Nothobranchius furzeri: one gene and its partners. The protein of the gene in region 4 purifies or fractionates together with the protein of the main gene of each other region. This does not show direct contact. Links are inferred from orthologs where the notes say so. Each region holds a gene or a part of one and is shown on either strand. Other genes may lie near its edges.

The links.
Region 1: the proteins of ncl (region 4) and rpl14 purify together in Homo sapiens (affinity purification with mass spectrometry; 3 studies listed by BioGRID and IntAct, with this or other methods). This does not show direct contact. The link is inferred for Nothobranchius furzeri from reciprocal best matches to the Homo sapiens genes NCL and RPL14.
Region 2: the proteins of ncl (region 4) and stau1 purify together in Homo sapiens (affinity purification with mass spectrometry; 4 studies listed by BioGRID and IntAct, with this or other methods). This does not show direct contact. The link is inferred for Nothobranchius furzeri from reciprocal best matches to the Homo sapiens genes NCL and STAU1.
Region 3: the proteins of ncl (region 4) and mybbp1a purify together in Homo sapiens (affinity purification with mass spectrometry; 3 studies listed by BioGRID and IntAct, with this or other methods). This does not show direct contact. The link is inferred for Nothobranchius furzeri from reciprocal best matches to the Homo sapiens genes NCL and MYBBP1A.

The regions. Positions count from the first base shown.
Region 1 is NC_091751.1:21,576,521-21,582,270, forward strand, and holds rpl14 (large ribosomal subunit protein eL14), read left to right. Parts: upstream 1-1,977; 5' UTR 1,978-2,062; coding exon 2,063-2,065; intron 2,066-2,544; coding exon 2,545-2,646; intron 2,647-2,724; coding exon 2,725-2,819; intron 2,820-3,894; coding exon 3,895-3,994; intron 3,995-4,411; coding exon 4,412-4,465; intron 4,466-4,628; coding exon 4,629-4,688; 3' UTR 4,689-4,724; downstream 4,725-5,750.
Region 2 is NC_091743.1:66,054,765-66,060,391, forward strand, and holds the start of stau1 (double-stranded RNA-binding protein Staufen homolog 1), read right to left. Parts: upstream 3,774-5,627; 5' UTR 3,583-3,773; intron 1,846-3,582; 5' UTR 1,743-1,845; coding exon 1,544-1,742; intron 1,428-1,543; coding exon 1,309-1,427; intron 1,231-1,308; coding exon 1,086-1,230; intron 975-1,085; coding exon 821-974; intron 735-820; coding exon 563-734; intron 481-562; coding exon 385-480; intron 295-384; coding exon 82-294; intron 1-81. Other genes in the region: pbrm1l (polybromo 1, like), read right to left, coding at 4,101-4,264, 4,370-4,574, 4,694-4,758, 5,069-5,230. UniProt on the Homo sapiens protein: Binds double-stranded RNA (regardless of the sequence) and tubulin.
Region 3 is NC_091750.1:52,602,360-52,608,001, reverse strand, and holds the start of mybbp1a (myb-binding protein 1A-like protein), read left to right. Parts: upstream 1-1,869; 5' UTR 1,870-1,945; coding exon 1,946-2,122; intron 2,123-2,711; coding exon 2,712-2,807; intron 2,808-2,919; coding exon 2,920-3,003; intron 3,004-3,088; coding exon 3,089-3,163; intron 3,164-3,250; coding exon 3,251-3,358; intron 3,359-3,444; coding exon 3,445-3,635; intron 3,636-3,717; coding exon 3,718-3,885; intron 3,886-4,046; coding exon 4,047-4,164; intron 4,165-4,263; coding exon 4,264-4,553; intron 4,554-4,619; coding exon 4,620-4,730; intron 4,731-4,810; coding exon 4,811-4,936; intron 4,937-5,041; coding exon 5,042-5,239; intron 5,240-5,351; coding exon 5,352-5,451; intron 5,452-5,607; coding exon 5,608-5,642. Other genes in the region: tbl2 (transducin beta-like protein 2), read left to right, coding at 109-261, 620-1,079. UniProt on the Homo sapiens protein: May activate or repress transcription via interactions with sequence specific DNA-binding proteins. Repression may be mediated at least in part by histone deacetylase activity (HDAC activity).
Region 4 is NC_091748.1:62,944,136-62,949,957, reverse strand, and holds the start of ncl (nucleolin), read left to right. Parts: upstream 1-1,982; 5' UTR 1,983-2,152; coding exon 2,153-2,170; intron 2,171-3,082; coding exon 3,083-3,178; intron 3,179-3,254; coding exon 3,255-3,363; intron 3,364-3,608; coding exon 3,609-3,758; intron 3,759-3,831; exon of another isoform or gene 3,832-3,969; intron 3,970-4,053; coding exon 4,054-4,341; intron 4,342-4,714; coding exon 4,715-4,867; intron 4,868-5,005; coding exon 5,006-5,089; intron 5,090-5,177; coding exon 5,178-5,301; intron 5,302-5,382; coding exon 5,383-5,519; intron 5,520-5,633; coding exon 5,634-5,760; intron 5,761-5,822. UniProt on the Homo sapiens protein: Nucleolin is the major nucleolar protein of growing eukaryotic cells. It is found associated with intranucleolar chromatin and pre-ribosomal particles. It induces chromatin decondensation by binding to histone H1.

The DNA.
Region 1 (5,750 bases), on a different chromosome or scaffold from region 4:
AGAGCTGGCCCAAGTGGCTGAGGAGAGGGAAGTCTGGGCCTCTCGCCTTTGGCTACTGCCCCCACAACCCTACTCCAGATAAGTGGATGAAAATGGATGGATGAATGGATGGATGGATAAAGGGAAACATTTTTTGATTGAAAATATGATGAAAAAAAAGAAAAAGAACAAAGGTAATCACAGTATCCTGAAAAAAGACATAACGGACAGAATCTAAGCATGAATAGAAGCCAGTCAGGAAGACGAGGATGAACAGGAGGTCACACGGAAGCCAGCTTGAACAGATGAGCTTTCAGCTTCTTTTTGAAGGAGACCACTGAGTCCACTGATCTCAGGCTCAGGGGGAAAGTGTTCCAGAGTCTGGGGGCCACAGCAGCAAATGATCTGTCACCTTTGGTCTTTAGCCTGGTGCGCGGCACCACAGACATATGTACGTAGATGACCCGTGGACTGGCGCTGCCGTAGCTCCATCTTGGATTGGCCTCCATTCATCTTCACTGCATTTATTACTGAGGAAGGTGGTTACCCAACTAAAAAACACATTTTATCAATCTTTTTCATTAGTGTGCCAGTTGTTGCAACTGTAGGCTGCACAAAACGGGCATAGTTACTCATTCTGCATTGACTTTGGAGAGTGAGGAGACCCATCCAATATGGCAGCGACACTGTTACGCTATCCTGTGCCCAATGGAGCATCTATGTATTCATGTCTATGCACTACACAAGTAGAGTTGGTAGCCTTGTAAAATCTTGATATGAAATATAGTGAAAGTTGTTATTAAACTAAAGGAAAAAAACAAAGATTTGTTTTTAAAAGTCTTGTTTCACATGTATCTTCATGGAGGGAAATATGCTTGTAAATCAGTGACCATAAAAGAAACATTTGTTATGAAATAGTTTTCAGGAATATTTTTTCAATATTACAAAGTAGAAGGAAGTTATGGAAGCCCATTCCCGCCACTCAGATAAAAAAATTCATATCTCATAATTATATCATATCAGAATAATGAGATAGTATCTCATTACAATCTCATAATTGTGAGATACTATCTCATTATTATGAGATATTATCTCATTATTATTATGACTTAGCTATCTCATAATTATGAGATAGTATCTCATTATTGTGGGATAGTACCTCATAATTATGAGACAGTATCTCATAATTATGAGATAGTAATGAGATACTATCTCATAATAATGAGATAGTATCTCATAATTATGAGATAGCTAAGTCATAATAATGAGATAGTATCTCATTATTATGAGATACTATCTCAATAATGAGATAGTATCTCATTATTATGAGATAGCTAAGTCATAATTATGAGATAGCTAAGTCATAATTATGAGATAGCTAAGTCATAATTATGAGATTTTTTTTTATCTGAGTGGCAGTAATGGGCTTCCATAATATGAGGAATAGCATGAGACAGGACAGTCTTGCAGCTTTGGTTAGTAAAACTGCCTCATAATGACAAGTCTCATTACATCCAATGGTTCAGATTTTTCTGGGATTAATTAAATAATAATTACTGCTTCGGGTATCTCTATCTTTAGTCCTAAAGACAATTCACTAGTAAGTAACAGGAAATGTGACTTTATAATCTTAGTAAGATTCTTCAGCCCTGTTTTAGTTTATTATTGCACATTCGTCCTAAAAAAAACCTCCCTGATGGTGCATTCAAAGACATTAATTATACCATTTCAACGTGTCACCTGAAACTACTGATATTATCAAGTTCTTGTTTTAAAATAATTACCATTCAGTTTGATTCACCTCAGTCAATAGCTTACAGGTTTTGTTTTGGCGTTGGCTTTCACTCGATAAACTTATTTCTGAACTGGGTGTGGCACACACGTTTTCATTTTGCGCGTCTCTGCATGATACATTGTGAGCAGCGTCCTTTTTTTGGTTAAACTATTACATTACACACATTTAATAACATTTCTTTTGATTTTTTTTAAGTAGAACTCACTGCGCACGTGCAAACCCAAAACGGAAGTCGTCATGTGCAGCAGCCGGAAGCTGTAACGTCCTTTTTGCTCCCCGACTGCCATCATGGTGAGTTCGCCATGAGACGAGGAGAAAACTTATTCAAAAGGAGTAGTTATTTGTTCAGTTAGTGTAAAAAATAACATCAGTGTGCATTTATAAAACACTCACGCACACATTTGCTAAGTTTAAAATGTTTACGTAGGTGTATTTCTAGATTTCAACGCTGACTGAAGTTATCGGCAACGTGGTCTATCAGGCCGCAGAGCCCGAGCGCTTGCTCATTAACCAGATCAAACGCAACTTTTAGGTTATGATGAAGCTGCCTGTTGTCCGCTCTGGGTGTCACATACACGTTTCTACTCTGTGCGTCCGCTAATCCTTGATGTTAACGCAGAAACACATGCTGTTAGCTCGCTCTAGCGGTCCAGTTCCGTATTTTAAATCGGTGTATGTCACATTTCTCAGTGTATTCGCGCGATAGAGCCCAATGTGTGATATATGTTTAAAGTCAACGTAGATCCTAACCAGCCTCTCGTCTCCGTCAGGTGTTCAACCGCTTTGTTGAGATCGGCCGTGTTGCCTACATCTCCTTTGGACCCAATGCTGGCAAGCTGGTGGCCATAGTAGACGTCATTGACCAGAACAGGGTGAGTGGATTGGGGAATTAACTGTAAGTTAGTGTGTTTACGTTGATATAAGGATTTTTATTTTATTTTGCTTCGCAGGCACTTGTTGATGGTCCCTGCACTGGAGTAAAGAGGCAAGCCATGCCATTCAAGTGCATGCAGCTTACTGACTACGTCATCAAAGTACCTCACAGGTGCGTGTTTACACTGAAGGGGTTTATGAAGTTATATAGTGTATTAAAGATAATCCACATGTTTACACAACCAATAGCTGTCACACGGTGTTGCACATGTTAAATGTTACTAGTTCACAGGATTTGTTTATGTTCAGATATTATGTTTTATCTGGTAGAAAGGCGGCAAACATGAAGTATGTTAGTGAACTTGTTTGTGTAAATTTGACATAAAGCTAATTTTGATTCTGGTGCTTAAAGGTTTGCTGAGAGACTAATACTTGATTTTTAATTTAACCGGTGACTGAACTGCAATACTTTCCACTCACAATCCTGTTGTTTTCCATCTACCACTTCTCACACTAACTGTTGTCTCTTGAAACAGGAGCCCTGAAGCATTTTAACATAGAAACTCATTTATGTAAACTAGAAGCCACAGCCACTTAATTGGGATAAGCAAGCGAGCAGTCTAAGATTGAGTGGTTTGTTGTTTTTCTCTCACTAGGACACGTTAGACTTAATGTTGGGTTGCAGGTTCAGGGTTCGGAGCATCTTCTCTATCCTGTCTTTTTTTTTTACTTGCCTCCACTTTCATCCTTCCGCTGATCCAAGCCTCGCATTTTAAAATCACACAAGAGAACAGCCAGCAATGTTCTTTCTGCTTGCTTCTGTTACTGCTGGTCTTTACCTGTTTTTGAGTTTAAATTCACACTATGTTAAATTAAATATGATTTTGAGCTGCCGTTTATTATTGCTCCCTATTTGAATAATGATGTTCCGGATGCTGAAACCTCTGTCCTTTAGTTAATAACTGTTAGTTTATTTTGCAAATTCAACTGGATGGATTTCATTTGCTTCAACAGCTGGTGCGGTTTTCATGTAGATGTCGGCTCAGCGCCCTTGTGTTAATCAGACCTGATTTTTCGAGTCATCCCACGTTTTTGGTGATTTGGGGTGAATGGGGTTTACAGTTTTCCTGCAGCAGCCTGGCTTCTCAGTCATGGTTGTAAAATGTGTCGAGCATTTCTAACTTCACACTTTTCTGAATAACACAAGAAAGCTCTTAGATCTGTACGCTGTTTGTTTTGGTTCACAGTGCTCGTCAGAAGTTTGTGAAGCGAGCCTGGGAGAAGGCCCAGGTCAACGAGAAGTGGTCAGAGAGCAGCTGGGCCAAGAAGATCGAGGCTAGGCAGAAGGTAAAATGCTGTCAGAGTTTTGTTTTGCTGTTAGTTCATCTCCGTGTTTGATCATCTGTACTGTAACAATCATTGTACTTTCAACGTCTTAACCGTTTTGCACCAGTTTTCTAAATATTAGCATTAATTAGACGTTGTTTCCTACCATCAAGTGCACAATGGTTTTATATCCACACTTGTTTGTGCAGCTAACAAAATGGATAAAATAACCCTACAGTGTGACCAAAGCGTTATATCAGGATGTTGTTGCCCACTGCTGTGTAATCGGTTTACATACTGGCTGGTGTGACCTGTCCCATCAGAGGGATTACAGCTGAACCTTTTAAAATCAGATTAGTTCATAATTTTAACACAAACCAAGTTAAAAGCAAACCACACGTTATGTCGCTGACCTGTTTTTGTTTGGCTCGTCTCCAGAGGGCTAAGATGTCTGACTTTGACCGCTACAAGGTGATGAAGGCCAAGAGGATGGTGAGTATAGCAGAGGCTTTTAATTAGAAGCTTTTTTTCTATGCAAAACAGATCAGTAAAGTGTTAAAAGTAGTCTTGGGACCAATGTGGAGCTCAGCGGGTGAGATAATTAAATTAAATATCATTTAACCCTGTTCTAATCAGTGCACCTTTCTGTCTGCAGAGGAACAAGATCATCAAGCACGAGGTGAAGAAGCTCCAGAAGGAAGCTGCAAAGAAGTGAAAAGTTTTCACAAAATAAATGTCCTGTTGAATTGTTCTGCTGTGTCTTTTTTCAGCATTCGGCAGAATTTCTCACCTTGTAAGTTGCTGAAAATCACTGAATGTGATGAATGAGAAAAAATGGGAGTGCCATTTCAATTACTGATTTAAAATCTCATGCCTCTAAAGTGCGTTCACTAAACGTATTTATTTGGGATGCTGCTGAATTGTTAGTAAATGTATAGATATTGAGTTTGATCACAAATAAGGCAAGGCAGCTTTATATTTCATTCACAGAGGAAATTCAATGTGCTTTTAATCAGCAAGAACGTTGAAATAAACGTGACAGAAAATGCAATTTCAAAAGAACCCGTTGACGGGTGAGCAACTACAGTGCAGAAGGTGCAGCATTAGAAATGTATTCAAAGGCTGGTGTAAACTGCTGCTTGAGGATCTCGGCGCCCTGCTGGGTGTAAACACCTGAAGGAGATCTGGCGTATTCTGGCCCCATGCCATTGAGTTATTTATATACTACAAGTACTTTGAAATTGATTGTGTAGTTTACTGGTAACCAGTGTAGAGATTTAAGAACAGGAGTGATGTGTTCGGTTCTTGTTAAGAGTAGCAGCAGCGTTCTGAATAAGCCGCAGTTGCTTCACAGCTTTTTGGGAAGATCAGCCAAAAGACCCTTGCAGTAGTCCAGCCTGCTGGAGATGAACGTATGAAGTGTTTCTCTAGGTCTGGTCTGAACCATGAGACTTACTGTCTGATGCAGATAACGCTGGTTATAGCCGTAATGTGACCAGTGTAGCTCAGGTCTGAATAAATTCCAACACCAAGATTTATAACCTGAGACTTTGTCTTTATTCCTCTGGAGCCAAGCTGAGCAATAACCTCCATCCTGTCCTTATTTCCAAAGACAATAACTTCAGCCTTTAACTGGAGGAAGTTTGATTGCATCCAATCCTTAATTTGCTGCAAACACTGAGTGAGTCTGGGACCACAGTCACTAGGTGATAGAGCTAGGTAGGTCTGGGTGTCATCTGCATCACTATGATGGGCAGCACTGTTATGACCTGACCCA
Region 2 (5,627 bases), on a different chromosome or scaffold from region 4:
ATAATGAGTAAATCATAACTTAATGAAGGCTCTTTGGGTCTGATCTGACTAATCCCACCTCGGATTCCGGAGCAACATTACCTTGATGATAGATTTGGTTTTCTTTTTGATGCGTGGCAGCTTCCTTTCCACACTCGGTATGTGGGGGAGCCTCTTCAGCTCACACAGCACCGCCGCTGCCGCCAGCTTCTTGGCGATCTTTTTACTCTTCCCCTCGCCGTTTCCCGAGAACTCTCCGACTGAAACGCTCACGACAAAATTCTTCATGTGTGGAGGGCCCTCCTCTTTTAAAACCTGGAATGAAAAATAAAAACAAACTCTTTTTGTTACAGTCGCAACTTGAACATTCATCTTAAGACTTCTGATGTTAGCAAACATCCAAACCTCAAAGATGACAGGTAAGTTTCGTTTGAGGGCAATTTCAAAAACTTGGCTAATTTCTGATTTGTTTAGGTTCTCATCCTCGGATTCTCCATTCACCTGTTACACATTTAAAAATAAAACAATGTGAAATATTAACAAAACAGTATTTAAGCTGTCTGGTGATGGCTACTCTTCCCACCTCTGGACACTGCTGCAGCATGGGCTCCTTCTGCAGGACTTTCAGCGCTTTGGCAGCAGCATCGTGTTTGGCCATCTGCCGTGTACGCCCCTTTCCAACGTACTGCTGACCCCCGATGGAGAGCTCCATGTGATAAATCATCGGTCCTACCGGGGTAAATGGATAGTAGTACCTGGAAAGATAAGGAAAGTTGTTCCACTCTTGAAAATCAGAGGCTAAACAGAGGAAATATGATTTTTTAAATTGGTGTAAACTGACTGTTGCATAGAGCGCTGGTAAGGCGGAGCACGAACGTTGTAGTTGAAGTTCGGCGGTCTCATCCCGGGATACGGGTCGATGGGTTTATAGATGGGTTTTTTACCGAGCTTTATGCAAAGTGCATTCAGCTCCATGGTGTGTGTGATGCCATCAGCTGCAGGGGACACAAGAAAATACAAAATGTAACACATCAACTCTCCGATCGTAAAATGTTAATTATAATGAGAAAACAGAACCAGCGGGAGAAGCCCATGTGGGTTCCTGCCTGTGTTACGCGGCATCCTCATGGTGGGTTTGGGAAGAGTTGTCTCAGTAAGAGCAGAAGCAGCAGCGGAATGCTGGGCTTTCTTGATACTGGTCCCCTCCGCCTCCCAGTGTTGATCTCCCAGCGTCAACCTCACTGAGAAAATCTGAAACAGACCTTCTATCATTACTGTAAACCCGACAGGACAACGGGTTGGACGTGTGAGACTTCACACCCGCTGTACCTTGGAGTGTGCTGGCCCTTGCTCAGAAAGCAGCTTATATTCAGGTTGGAGCTTGTTGAAACGAGCTAACTCATTCACCAAGCACATGGGGGTCTTCTCTTTAGGGTTTGCCATGTTTACTGAAACAAAATAATAAACACCATTAAAGAAAGATGCAGACAGCCACAGCTTCTGGAGTCAACCCAGATCTAGATGGTGAAGGAAAGAAACCCAAACTATTTCAAAAAGAAAGTACCTGTGGTGGTATTATAAGGAGTGGCAGAGCCCGCAGGGAGGGCGGAGCTCCTGATGGGCTGACTGGCACTCTCCGATGGTAGGGCGCCCGTAGCACAGGGGATGCTGTAGCCAGGCTGCGGCTGTCCCAGCTGAAGGGGGGCAGAAGCAGCAGGCATGGAACTAACAGGACACTGAAACTGAAGCTGAGACATCCTCATTGCTCTTGTATTGTTGAAGGTTGAAGTCAAGATTAGTGATTTACAGTGTGGGAGTGACCGAGGACTGAAGAGGTCAGGATAAAAGCTTGGCCTGGAGAAGAGTCTGAGAAAGAAATATGATATTATAACAAATGTATTTTACCAAATAATTTGCATTTTCAAACGATTCTTGGTTAGAAAATTAGCATGGTTTTGTTACAAGAGAGATGATTGCAATTTATTGCAGTTATTAGCTTCATTGTGAGGTTTATATATTTATGTTGGTTCTAAAAACCGCCACTGGATTAAATGTAGCTAATTTGACCATTAATATCATTAAATCAGTGCCTGTAGTTATTGCAAATCTCTCAACAGTACATCAATTTATGTAATTAAAAATGCATATATTGCAAAAGTAGCACTCTTTCTAGCAGGTGTCCACATTTTTCTTTATCATTTATTTCTTTTCACTTACTGAAGAGATACGTTGAGGCTGACACATGACAATGAGATACACCAAATGTTTACTTGGTGCCCATGGCTGTTTAATTTTTTTAAATAAACTGTTTATTCATTTAAAGAACCTCTTCAAAGATAACTTATAAATGTTATGTCAAAAATGTTCCTTTGTCATTGTGATATAATATTTGTTTAACTCCAACCATGTTGCATGAGCCGGGCCATACTCAGACCTACAGCCCAAGCTGAGAACCAGAGCTCATGGGTCTCCTTCTTGGCTCCAGAAGGGACGGCAGCACCCCCAGTATCTGACCATGGTGCATGAGCCAGGCCACAATCAGACCCAAAGCCCAGGCCAAGAACCAGAGCTCAAGGGGCTCCTCCCTAGCTTCAGGAGGGAGACCCCCTGTTTAGAAATCAGAAGGTTTTAGTGGCATTGCATGTGAATACTTGAAACTGGGTGGCACTCAAGTGGCGCAAACAATAAAATAAACATGATATAAGAAAAGGCAGATATAAAAATACATACATTAAATTTAATCTTTACCGGACTAAATAATGTGCAAAAAGCCTTTACGCAGCAGCAAACATGTTATTCAGTAATACTGGATTATTGCACTGATGGCATGTTTTTCATGCTTTAACTTGACACCCATCCTGCCTGGGTGATGAACTGTAAACATTTTTCATCCGTTTTGTTATTTTTCATGATTGGATCTTGATCCATTGCAAAACAAAGGACAAAGATTGAAAATCAGATTTCAGCAGCGTCTGCTTGTTCTGATATTCACGTTTCTCCATCACATCAGTTTGGCTGGAAAGGATGAGCCTCTAAAGCCTCTAACTGAACCACCTCTCATTTCCCATGGACCACCGGTCGCACGCAACAAACTGCGGAACTTAATAGCATGCTTTTTGTTGCTAAAAGGTTATCTTAATGCTACATTTATGTTAAAAACAAGATTACTGGCAGGTTAGCCGATGCAGAGAATGGACCAAAAACACTTGCAAAAAACATGTCAATGCATTATACAGCCCATAACTCTTGTCTTTACAAATATTTAAAACATATATACATACATTATTGTCAGAACATGATCCATTTCTAAATAAGGCCGCGAGGAGTTAATAAAGGCTACTCCGAAGGAGCATGTTAGCAAACCGGTCAGCTCACCGCAAAGGCACCGGTGTAGCAACCTGATATCACTTTTAGAATCGTTAGGTAAAAAACTTACCAAAAACACTTAGCTTACAACTAAACATCAGTAAAGTCTTACAATATTTTTTTAGTCTGGTCAAGGACATGTTTCAGGTTATTTGGCCAACGAACCAGAAAGCAGCCGGTGTTGACAAATTAGCTTAGCAGCTAGCTAAAGCCGACAGTGCACAAAGCAAGCCTCACCTCTTCGCTACTTTTCTTCGTTTTTTTTTTGTTAATCCATAATAAAATATGGCTTAATGGGGTTTGTTTGGTTTTACGTTCAGCTTCAAGAGTCAGTGTCTGTTAATTTGTATTCAAAATGCGGGAGGCAAGGAGGCGAACATTGGGAGGACACGGCAAACACTAAAGAGAATGGCACGGTCTTGATCGTCTCACGGAAATGGCGTCATCAAACCGGAAGTACTTCAAAAATAAAATCCAAAAAGGCAAGAAGCTACATAAAAAATGAAACAAACATGAGGTTTGCAGCTTTTTATTCTGGTTGCATCAATAAGACAATAAAATAAAATCACAGGTTTTAGCAGAACTATGATTTAAGACGGTATAAAAATGCACACAAATCACTATCAAGTTCACTTTTTTAGCTAATAAATATAAAATGGTTGTGACCCACTATAAAATATTGCTTTCTACCATTTGAAAACTCCACAAACTGAGGATAAGAGTAGTTACTGAGGTTAGTGGTTCTGTTTGGGAGGTTACAGGTTGTAAGCCTGACAAATATTCAGTGAGTCTCTCAGCATCAAGTCCCGTAAACGCCACAACGCATCCACCATTGTTGTGTGAGCTCCTTTGCTCTTCAACCAGTGTGCTGGAAGGCGACTCTCCTGCTCTTTGGTAAAGTGAGCATCTCGTCTTTGAGCTGTTATGGATAAAAGTTATCAGTAAACAACAACAACAAAAATGTTGAATTTGCATCAACGCACAGAGAAGCAAACTGATTTGGGAGTGAGGGGAAAAGCATCACCTTTTAGCATTTGGTCCCACTTGCTGACAGTGCTTGATTCTGAATTTAAGCCCTCAATGTACTTCAGGTAGGCTTCTGAGTGGAGCACCCTCTGGGTCTTTGGTGGTGGTCCAACAAACATGGGAGTGGTGGGCTGCAGATGAGATGGCTGGCCCTGTCCGGGATATGGTGGAGGAGCGTGCTGTCCTGGACTAAACACCCCAGGCTAAAATAAAATAAAGCAATTGTGGTAAACCCGCACTGTTCATTTCAGTCAGTCTAGCTTTTATTTACAACATGGTTTCAACTGCTCTGTATTAACAAAAAAAAAAACAAAAAAAACACCTGTTGCATAAAATTTCCTTGTCCAGGACTTCCTGCCATCCCATTTGCACCAGCGCCCATCATACCTGTTTAAACACAAGATTTACTCTGACAAATGAGGAAAAGGAATTTACCTAATTTATAGTTTGCTTCATGTTTTCAACACAGCCTCTGAGAAAGTTAATGCATGAAAATTAGCTAAATGTTAGTCATCTGGTATCAGTTTGTCATGCATAACTATGTGAATGTAGATCTGGATGGGCAAGACCAGCGAGCTTCGACAGTTCGGTGTGTAGCTCAGGCTATGCAGCCTGTGGACCAGGTAAACCCCTCCACAGCCGGAGAGACACGACTGCATGTGACTGAGCAAGTGTGGCTGGGACAGTGGGCCCTTACCCTGATGGGGCATGCCAGGGTATCCGGGCATACCTTGCTGGAGATGGTGAGGAGGCAGGTGAGGAACCCCCCCAGAGTGAGGTGGCATTGGTGCCACGCTCAGCAAACCCTCATGAGGGCCCTGCATGGGCATGTAAGGTGGGCCGTAAGCTCCCATCATGCCTTTGGGAAGAGGGCAAGGAGAGCACAACATATCCATGCATAAGTCCCATGCAGATGACTCTAGACAACATGCACTAAGACACACAGCGACCCTTATCACACACTGACCTCAAAGGACTCAAAATCTGCATTTCAAATAATTCATGTTTTAATAGGTTTTATTTATTTGTCCCGTTCATTCTGGTGCCGATCTCCCTCTTTCCTATTCATTTTCTCTCTCCCTTTCCTTACATTTTTTATCACAACTTTTATTTTTAGTCATTTTAAAGATATTTAAAAAAAAATTATATTTGTATTTTTTTGTTTTGTGAAGCGCCTCGTGACTTTTTTCCCCGAGAGGCGCTAGATAAAATACTATAAAATTATAACTAATAAGATACTAAATTCATATTCTCCA
Region 3 (5,642 bases), on a different chromosome or scaffold from region 4:
TTTGCACAAACCTAAAACTAAAACAACTCAAGCTAAATTGGTCTGCATAGTTTTAAAGGATGCATATCAAAATCTGTAGGATTGTCATTGTTTTCTCCCTGTGCTCAGGTTTGTAGCATCCTGTGGTTTCACTCCTGACGTGAAGGTTTGGGAGGTTTGCTTTGGGAAGGGAGGAGAGTTCAGAGAGGTCGCTCGAGCGTTTGATCTGAAAGGCCATTCTGCAGGAGTTCATGCTTTTGCTTTTTCTAACAACTCTCACAGGTAATAAAAGTGTTTGTTTACAACACAGAGCCACAGAGGAGGCTTGTTGTGCTTTGAATTTAAAAGCGATAAGACAAACAGCTTCCAATACCAAAGATGATCTGGGGCACGCTGAGTAATTTCCAGCTTCATTGTGCAAACAGAACTAATGATTCAACACCAAGGGTGTCATCTGATGAGGACACAGTGGGTGTTAAATCGTTAGTTCTGTTTGCACAATGAAGCTTGAAATTCATCAGTGAGATCCAGTTCCTATGTTTGATATCTGAAGCAATCACTCTGCTAAATGGAAAAAACACACAGATTATCTACGACACTTTAATATAACTGATTTGTTTTTCTTTCTTTTATCGATCAGGATGGTCACCGTCTCTAAAGATGGAACGTGGAAGCTGTGGAACACAGATGTAGAGTACAAAAAGCAGCAGGATCCTTACCTCCTGAAGACGGTCCCTTGCTCCTCCTCCGAAGGCAGCAGAGTGGCTTTGTCCCCTGATGGCCGTGTTGTGGCCATCAGCAATGGTTGTAACATAGCGATGTACGATGCTGCCACTGGGAATCTGGAGAAGGAACTGCACGGTGTCCACAGTGAAAACATCTCCGACCTCAGGTTTGACATTAACAGCCGCTTCTTGGTGTGCAGCGGCGACAAGGCTATCAGAGTGTTTCATAATGCGCCAGGCTACCAGGCTGCTATCAAAGACATGCAGGACATGCTGAAAAAAGCCCAGAACGAGGCTATGAAGCAGAGACTGCAGCAGCAGATAAAAGATGCTCAGAGCGCTCTGGACACTGTGCTCACTGCTCGGATCGAGTGAAAGAATGCACAAAGAGCCACCATGTGATTGTGATGTGTCATGTTTTTGTCAACATCCAGTTTCCCTTTTCTGCTCATTAATTTGTGCAGGAAGCAACGGGTTATGCATGCAGTTTTAATAAAGAATACATTTTTATGCAAAGATGAAATGTGTTGTGGATGTGTGTGGTTTGATTTAAAGTTAGGAAACCAAAAACACGGTAATGAAGATGGTCTACAATACCAAAGTGAACGCTCTTGTCACAGCATCATATCACAAAACGAGTAAATGCTTAAAGAGAAAGAATTTACTTACTGAATAATTAAATAAAAAGTGATTTAAAAGTAGCATGGGTTAATTGTCACTAAATTCATATTAAAGTCTGGATTTAGTTTTTGCCAATTGAATAAGAAACATTAGTTATAGTACCTCTCAAGATAAAATTCAGGAGGCGCTTATTGAGGTCTTTGTTAGAAAAACAAGATTAAACCCTGAGAATGCTCTTTCCTAAATAAGCTTCAGTAGCTTTCACTTAGATTTTAACTGAAAAAAAAAGATACAGTCAGAAAAACCCTCAACATCAAGAAGTTTCCATGGATATGGATCTGGCCCTGGTTTAGACTGTTCCACCTTCCCACAAAAAACGCTGATGATCAAAACAAAGTTTATTGAAAGAACAAAAAAATGGGGGTTTACATCATGTTGTCACCGGCGCACGTGGAGGTGCAACTACTGGGCAGCATTCTTTAACGATGAAATCCGAGTCTTGCGCCGGCCTATCGCTAAAGAGCAACCCTCATCTGAATTGACCCGGAAGTGGTTTGTGTCTGTGGAAACACGTTTTCCTCCCGTAGCAGCATGTTGATCAGAGGTGGTTCTGAGAGCAGATGTCTGTAGAGATGGTGGAACTGTTGGTGAAGGCAGCGGAGCCGCTGCGACCGGCCGGGGTTTTACAGCAGAACCGGGTCTTCCTCGACTTCTTCTGGGATTTAGCTAAACCGGATCAGGAGGTCCGACTGAAGGCCGTGGAGAACCTGATCCAGTACCTGAAAACAGAAAACAAGGTGAGAAACTGCCTGGACACGATCCAGACTCAGATGCATTATGTCCTCTGAAGTTAAAGTTTTAGTAAATCAGAATAAAAGTTTTTAGATTCAAATGATTATATCACTGACTAAATTGTCAATTTCTTAATAAAATCGCCTACGTTTTGGTTTAAAAAACTTTTTCTTCATAATTGGACAATAACTCAAAGAAAATCAAGTTTTAACGGACTAAATTAGTTTCTGTTAAAAACAATTTCACTAGTGTTTAACAATCAGCTAAAAGTTCACAACAAAGTAGAAGGCGTTAATTAAATATAAAAATAAAGTATAAAGCAAAGTGCAAGTTTAATACCGGTATATCAAAACAAAAATAAAATGTTCATCAAGTCATTTATACTCAAAGATAAAGACATGAGTTTTAAATGGCCTGTATTTGTATAGCGCCCCCAAGACGCTTCACAGCACAATCACACATTTACACACTGGTAGGGATGAGCTACCATGTAGCCACAGCTGGCCTGGGGCTCTTCTGAGAGTAGTGATGTCTAAATGTTCCCAGTCTCAGTGGTGTGTAGAAAGTTTTACGGATGTTGTTTCTGTCCTGCAGGCCGATGAACTGGATTACACGTTTAAACGTCTGGTGGACGGACTGTCCCACACCCGGGAGACAGCCAGGCCTGGGTTCAGCCTGGCTCTGGGACAGGTGAGGGCACCGCCAGCCCGCTTGATTGGTCGATTCAACTTTAAAGTTCACCAGTTTGTAGAAATCAAAAAACTTCAATGTTTCAAATTAAGCGATAAGTTTCCTCTTTCAGGTCTTGAGTGCCTTTAAGGACGTCTCCCTGCAGAGTATACTGAACAGAATCAAAGAGAAACACAACATACAGGCTGTGAAGAAGGTGAGTTTAGATGCTCAGGACTCCTTTGGCATCAGGAACTTCACTAACGGGCGTTTCCACTCACCAAAATCACGTTGTTTCATAGAAACTTGCCAGAAATGCGATGTTCGGAAACTTGTTTGGCGTCCTCGCTCTTCATCAGTCTGGACGTCTCGCTGAAGTGAGTTGGGAGTTTTTTTTTTTTTTGTTTTTTAAGGTTAACATTCTAAAGAGTCAAAAACACTTATAGCAGCTCTGATCTCTGCAGGAGCCACAGGTGGTGTTGGGATGTGTGACGCTCCTCCAGAGTCTGACTCAGCACAAGCAGCACCTGAAGGACCTGCCCAGTAAAACCATGGTGGACATCCTCACTGAGGTGACCGCTGCGTCCTGGTTGCAGCTTTCCACTTTGTATCAGTTTAACCTCAAAACGCACTCACATGCTGCCCTCTTGGCCTTCAGATCCCAGAGGAGGTGTTCGAGGAGGTCCTGCTGGGCGCCCTGCAGACTGACCTGGCGTCAGCCTTCAACACTCCCGAGCAGCTGCAGCTGCTGTTGGTGGCGCTGCAGCGCTTCCCTCAAACTCTCAAGCCGAAGAAACTCAAGAAGCTGCTGGGCTCCTCCACCATCATTAACGCTGACAACATTCCAAAGTGAGAATTCGGGAATCAGGTCTCAAAATACGCATTCAACCGTCTCCTCCTGCTTATTATCATTAAAAACCTTATCTGTCAGATTGATAGAGGTGTTAAAGATGGCAGCTCACTCTGTGAAGAAGGAGTTAACTCTACCAGCCGTTGCTCTGGACCTCCTGAAGCTCTCTCTGAAGGAGGACAGCTTCCAGCTCTTCTGGAACAAAGCCATCACAGAGGGAATGTTCAGGGAGCCGTTCGGAGTGACTCAGTGAGTTTATTACGAGGATGTGAATGAATCGGACCCAAAACGTGGAAACAAAGCTCTAAAATGTGAAAAGTGTAGTTTTTATTTTCTTGTATGACTTTGTTCTTCCCTGCAAGTGAATTTTTATTCTAACATCCAGCCTTCCCATTGTTGATTCTGTTCAGTTATCTGAGCTTCCGCCTGCTGGGAAGCGCCCTCCCTCTGCTGTCGTTGTCCCAGCTGAAGACGGTCTTATCTGGAGAAGTGATGATGCACTACGGAGAACACGTTCTTGCATCTCAGGTTAGTTCCAGGGTGAATTTTAGATTTCACTCGAATCAGAGGAATAACAAGTGAGGTCTTGGTGAGCTGTAGATCTGGATGGCTGTTTTTCTTTTCCAGAAACCGGGCCGCTTCAAGCTGGCCCCGGAGATGGACACCTACGTGTTGGACTTCCTGCAGGCCTGTCAGGACTCAGACAAGCAGCTGGCGGTCATGGTGGGCTTCTCCTCGCTGACCCACTTGGGTTTGCCTGTGGTGTTGCCAGTGTGGAAGGTGGTGCAGCATCTTCAGCCTGCAGCCTTGCAGAGCTACGTGGAGTGGCTTAAAGGAATGTTTCTTCAGCCTCGGATGGAAGAGCTGCTGGACTTCAGCACCCGCAAGCAGAAGGGCAAGCAGGAGGGTGGAGAGCAGTGAGTTTATACGCCCGCTTCTTTAGCTGACTGAAAAAACACCTTTTAACTCTAATGCTCCTTCAGGAAGGACAGCGCCGTTTTCCACCTGAGGAGGTGGATTGTTTCTCGACTTGCCTCCATCATCGACAACAGTCAGGTGAAGAAGCAGGAGGATCTCATCATGGACGTGGCCAGGTGAGCTTCCTGGTGAGCAGCTTCAGGGTTTCTGTGGGAGTCGAGGAGAAAACCATGATTCTGACTTGCTCCTTTTCCAGGTTTGTCTTTTTCCACGCCTTCTTCGGCACCCAGAAGGCCTCCTCTGACATCGCAGAGACTAGTTCAAAGCCTTCCATCCCGCTTGACGAGAAAACCAGAGGAGTGCTCGTCAGTTCTTTTTTTGGGTGAGAAGAAGTCTAATTTCCTTAAGTATTACCAACTTTATTAAAGAAGTCAGACTTTGCCTCTGCAGCTTCAGTTAAGTCCCGTCCCATCTGTCTTCCATCCAGACTCCTCATGTCGCTGCACCACATGCCACCTAGCGACGACGGCACGGCCGTCAATCAGAGACGGGTGCTCGGCGTAACAGCTGATGGCACCATGTGGATTTACCGCTTGGTTCAGTATGCCCAGCTCCTTCTAAACCATCCAAAACACGTTCACAGAGTCCATCCGTTCAGTCCTGAGCAGAGACAGGCCTGGGACAGGTGAGGGGACACTCAGGCTTCACATTTCTGATTACTTATCGGTTAAATGTGATGATATAGTTGAGATTTTATGTTGATGTGAAGGCAGGAAATTGTTATTGCTGTTTTTCAGCATGCTGGAGTCGGTGGAGAACTTGAGGAAAAAAGGCACAACAGCAGAGAGCGGCGCATTCCAGCAGCTGTTCCTGCTGGTCGGGATGCATCTGTTCAAGGTACACGCCACCTTACTGCAACACTGAGCTGCTTAGAGAAAAAGTCTGAATTTCCTCTGCAAATATTACAAACCTCACAAACAAGGTTGTGCTTTTTCTCCGTTAGTATTTTGTGCATTGAAACCAAAATGAATAGACTTTTTGTCTGACCTGAAGGCCCCCGACGAGCTCCTGGACATCATGAAGGACTT
Region 4 (5,822 bases):
CCTCCTCTATCTGCTTCCTCTTCAGCACATCCTGAGCTCCTTCAAAGGAGCTCCTACCATCTTTACGCAGATGACATCCAACTGTACATCTCCTTTAAGCCCCATGAGATGCCTAAGCTGCAGCTGTTACACGCCTGCTTAGACTCTATCAAAACCTGGATGGCTGGGAACTTTCTACAGCTGAATGAAGATAAGACTGAGATCCTCATCAGTGCCCCAGACAAGCTGGTTCCCAAAGTCAGAGACTCTCTTGGTCAGCTTGCTTCTCACACCAAAACCTCCGTCAGGAATCTTGGCGTGACCTTTGACCCAGCTCTCACCCTGGATTCTCATGTCAGTTCTCTTGTTCGCTCTTCCTTCTTCCATCCCAGGAACATTGCTAAGCTGAGTCCCATTCTGTCCCGCTCTGAACTTGAGACAGTTATCCACACCTTCATCTCCTCACGCTTAGACTACTGTAACTCTCTTTTCACGTGTCTGAGCAGAACCTGAACCGTCTACAGGTGGTTCAGAAAGCCTGTGCTCGGCTTCTGACCAAGTCCTCCAAACACACTCACATCACCCCACTTCTCCTCCAGCTTCACAGGCTGCCAGTCAACTTCAGGGTTCATTTCAAGATCCTGGTTCTGGTCTATAGGGCCTTACATGGACAAGCACCATCATACATTGGTGATCTTCTCCATCCCTACACCCCCAGCGGGTCCCTGAGGTCCAGTGACCAAAGCCTACTGGTTGTGCAACGCACCAGGCTAAACACCAAAGGTGACAGATAATTTGCTGCTGTGGCCCCCAGACTCTGGAACTCTCTCCCCCTGAGCCTAAGATTGGTGGACTCAGTGGTCTCCTTTAAAATACAGCTGAAATCTCACCTGTTCAAGCTAGCTTTTGCGTGACCTTCATCACCTCCCTCCCCTTATTCTGCTCTTATTCCACCTTTCCCAGGATCCATTAATGTCCCTCTTCCCTATTAAATGTTCTCTCTCCCTTTCCTTACATTTTTTTCTTTTCTCCTTTTAAACATATTTTTAATCATTTTTGAAATCTTTTTATACTTTAATTGTTTTTTTGTTTTTGTGAAGCACCTCGTGATTTTTATCTTGAGAGGCAGATAAAATATCATCAGATAGAATCAGATATAAAAATATCATTTTCAGCATGTGTTCAGTATTGTGCAATACTGGACGTACATTATCTGTGTCTCTTATGCTGCATATTTTTGGAAACCCAGTTGTCTATTTGTATTCATTGTTTTGAGGGTTGAATGTTACAAGAACAGGTTACTGCCTATGTGTTTACCTGTACTTTTGTTGTTTTCTTCTTCCTTGTCTAAAAGTGTATGTGCTGCAGTAACAAGGTTATTTCCCCAAAATGGGATTAATAGTCTATTCTAAATAGGGTGGGACCTCAGCTTCTCCAGATGTTTAGCACAGGTTGGAGGAGTCAGTGGCATACACAATGCCTCTGCCCTTTTAGTATTTGCTGTAAAATCCCAGTGTCAGTGTCCCAAACTCTTCAAGAGATTTGAAAAAAAAGTGAGAGGGCGATATCCTCTTTACTGGTACAATTGAAAAACTGTGGTAACGTTTGATCAAAATATATTTTATTAAAGGCAAATTATTGTTGGCGGTTGAAACGTTCGACGTGGCCCTAAAAACTGATTGAATATACCCTGGGTTATGCTAGAACCACGTGGTAGACGCGGTCGATGGTTTACGGCAGCTGACCAAAAGAAAACAGCTGCACGGAGTTGCATAAAGACGCATTGTCTTTGTGTCAACATTTAGAAAATTGCACTTTTTTGGCACTATCCGAAGACAAATCTTGGAAGTTAAACACACAGATAATCTCGGAAATGGTATTTTTAGATGAAATTTGCTCAGGTGTAGAGAAAAAAACAGTCTGTAAACGGCTCGTAGGCGAGGCGCGTGCACGAGGCAAATATGTCAATTTCCGATTGGTTGAAATGGTCATGTGGGCGGGCAGACGTCACAGCGCGGAGCTGGAGAGAAACCACTTCTGCGACCCGTCTGTCTTTCTAGTCCAATGTCCCACTGAGTAGACAGATCCACGTGCATGCAGCAGACATTTTGGTACTTGTCATCAAACCTTTAGATATTAGTGTTTCATTGAAACACACACATCAGAAGCAACCATGGTGAAGCTAGCAAAGGTAAGACGAATCTATATCACATCAAAATGTCCGCGCTGAGCCGTGCTTGAATTTTTTTTTTTTGGCGCACGAGGCCTTTGGCTTAAGGTGCTGCGTTTTTGGAAAAATAAAACCAGTCAAAGTTAGGAATGTGCGCGCATATGTTGCAGTGACAGCGCATTTTCACAACATTTTTAACAATCTAATCCTTCAAAAGTAGTTTTTCCCCCTAATATGTAAAGCATGCTGTATTTGGTCGACGTCTCTGGTTCTGGTTTTCCAGGCCTAGCTCGGCCTGCTAACGCTAGGCGAGTTTTCGTCGTGTTATTTGTCCGTTTCTCTTTTTAAGCGTTTGGGTTTTATTGTGATTAAAAAATTGAGCTTTTTTATTAAACTAAAGTGGGAAAGTAGAGTTTTGACGTTACTGGTAATACATTTGTAATAATGTAACATACGTTTAATCCTATTCCGTTTTAGCATTAGCACGTTGCACATTTTAAGTACGTGGTCCGCATCTTCTTTACACGTTTTTGAGTCGAATTCAAGGGTTTTGTTTTTCGTTATCTGTTGGAATCTTCGTGTCGAACGTTTGTTACCCAAAGCGGTTTGATTTTTGTTGTAGTTTTAGTCGTCTGTGGTGAAATGTAGCCCAGATGCTAGCCTTATGTTAGCTTCACGAGCTCCACGTGGGTGGGCGCACGCTATGAGTGACACACGCGGTGTTCAACCAAAACCGAGAAAGTAGTTTACTGTAAAGGCGGACGGATGTCACGATTGGTTAGTCAGTCTGCATTATTTGCGGTATTTATTTTTGTTTAACTTGGATGAACTTGAATTGATATACTTAAGCTTAACGGTTGAGCTGTAGATTCGTTTTGACTGTTGTGTAGTCTTTCTAGTTTTTATGGATTAACACTGGCTTTTTTTTTTCAGGCAGCAAGTCAACAAATTAAAAAGAAAAAAGCCCCCCCACCCCCCAAAAAAGTGGAAGAGGAATCTAGTGAAGAAGAAAGCAGTGAGGAGGAAGAGGTATAACACTTGCTTAGTTACTGATATCAGTTTGTTGAATTCAAATAACTGAACTTTCTTTCTTTTTAAAATCCAGACCCCTCCACCTAAAGTAGCAAAAAAAGCAGCAGGTAAAGCTTCCCCAGCAGTCAAAAATGGTACCCCTGCCAAAAAACAAGAAAGTTCTGATGAAGAGGATGATTCTGGTGAGCTGCACTAATAAAATTTAGGTTTTTCAGGTCCTATTGATGTCATAATAAAATAATTTTCAAGGGATATCCCCGTCAAACTCACACAATGTACTCTTATTTAGCCTACACATAACGAGCTGCTTAAGAAAGTTTATTTTAAATTATAAACCTAAATGCATAATTTATTAGTTGCATAATTGATTTTTTTCTAAAAGTTAAATTTTATTTGATTTGTGAAATTATCTCGTGGTCACCCACAGAGGAATCTGAGGAAGAGGCACCACCACCTAAAAAGACACCTGCAAAAGCAGCATCTGCAAAGACAGCTGCTAAAGCCACAGCAGTGAAAGCAGCGCCTGCCAAGGCTGAGCAGTCTGATGATGATGACGACGACGAAGATGACGATGATGGTATGTGGTGGTTTAGACTTTTTTTTTTTTTTTTGTTAACTTTGACTAAGTGAATAGTGAAGTGGCCCCACACCCTCCATTTCTTGGCATGCATGCAGTTGATTGGTACTCATGTGTGTAATGTACGGAGGAAAAGTAAAGGCAGCGCTATGTCTTCGGTGCCGGTGTGTTTTAATGTCTGCCGGTTCTATCCTCAAACGCTGTTACATTGCTTCATGTTTTGTTTTCTGCTCTATATGAATCTTACCTAGAAGTGAGGGTGAAAAATAACCCAATTTCAATGTTTCTTGTTCAGATGAATCTGAAGAGGAGGCCCCACCTCCCAAGAAAGCAGCAAAACCAGCAGCCAAGCCTCCTGCCAAAGCCCCAGCAAAGGCCAAACCTGCTCCAAAGGAGTCTTCTGATGATGATGACGACGATGATGAAGATGATTCAGAGGAGGAGGAGGCAGCTCCACCCCCAAAGAAGGCTACTCCAGCCAAAGCAGCTGCCGCTAAACCTGCGGCCAAAGCAGCTGCTAAATCTGCAGCTAAAGCACAGCCTGCTAAAGAGGAGTCTGACGATGAGGAGGACGATGAAGATGGTAAGCCTGATTCTCTATTGTTTTTAATTATTGACAAAGAAACTTTACGCTGGACCAGCTTTAACTGTGTGATGAAGAAAAAGGGACTTAATACTGATTGTGGTTGATGTCACTTTTTACATATCTGATGTTGGTCAAAGCTGCAATAGCAAATCTGCAAAACGGGCCAGCTTTTAAAAAGTCGCCGAACTCTCTTTCCCCGTCAGCTATCATAATTTTTAACTTCACAAACTATTTTTGTCTTCCTTTAAGAGGCACGAAAGTGTTTTAGACTAGTTAGTTTTGCAGATTTGCCATTGTAGATTTAAAAGGATCATGTGATCTAAAACATGGGGACAGGAAATGATGTCCAGATCTGATGTTTGTACTCCAGACTCTGAAGAAGAGGAGATGGACACCACTCCAGCTCCAGCAGCCACCAAGGCAAAGAAAGCAGGCATGGTCAAAGCCAAGGAGGAGTCAGAGGAGGAGGAAGATGATGATGATGATGATGACGACGAAGATGATGATGAGGAGGAGGATGAAGGTTAGTTTTGTGAAACTTTTCTTGTGTCTTAATATTCGTACTGGAACTTGACTCAAAAATTAAGTTTTAATATGTGAGATTATCAGAGCGTCAGACTCTGCTTTCCTTGTTATGAGAGCTGTAACCTTTTCTCCTCAGAACCTCCAGCAAAACCTCAAAAGAGGAAGGCAGAGACCAAAAAGCAGGAGACTCCTGCTAAAAAAGCAAAGTCGGATGGTGAAGGTAAGACATGTTTATGAATTTTCATCGTGATTACAAACCATCACAACTCTGATGCAGTCTGACAATGACACAATTTTCTTATCAACAGGTTTCAGCCTTTTTATCGGAAATCTAAACTCCAGCAAAGACTTCGATGAACTCAAGGATGGGCTGAGAAAATTCTTCACCAAAAACAGTCTGGAGATCGTGGATGTTCGACTTGGGGGATCAAAGTAGGCCTTGGGCAGATTTTTATTTTTTATTTATTTTTTCCTAAACTGTCAGTAATAATTGTTGTGGTTTACTTCGTCTAGGAAATTTGGCTATGTGGACTTTGCATCCGAGGAAGACCTCAACAAAGCACTGGAGCTCAATGGCAAGAAGTTCATGGGTCTGGAGTTGAGGATGGACAAGGCTCGCAGCAAAGAAAACGCACAGGAGGGCAAGAAAGGTGAATGATGACGTCATGATGTTACTGAATTGGTGATAAATACTTGTGAGCTGTCGGCATCTTACTTGGCTGCCCAGAAATTGTTCCTAAGTTTATTTCCATTGTGTCCTACAGAGAGGGACGCCCGGACGTTGTTTGTGAAAAACCTTTCCTTCTCTGCTACGGTTGATGACCTGAAGGAGGTTTTTGAAGATGCTGTTGATGTGCGGTTACCTCAAGGCCAAAACGGTTCCAACAGAGGGTAAGAGGAAGATGAGCGATCCTGATTACTTCAGAAATGTTGGTTTACGGGGAGATGTGGCG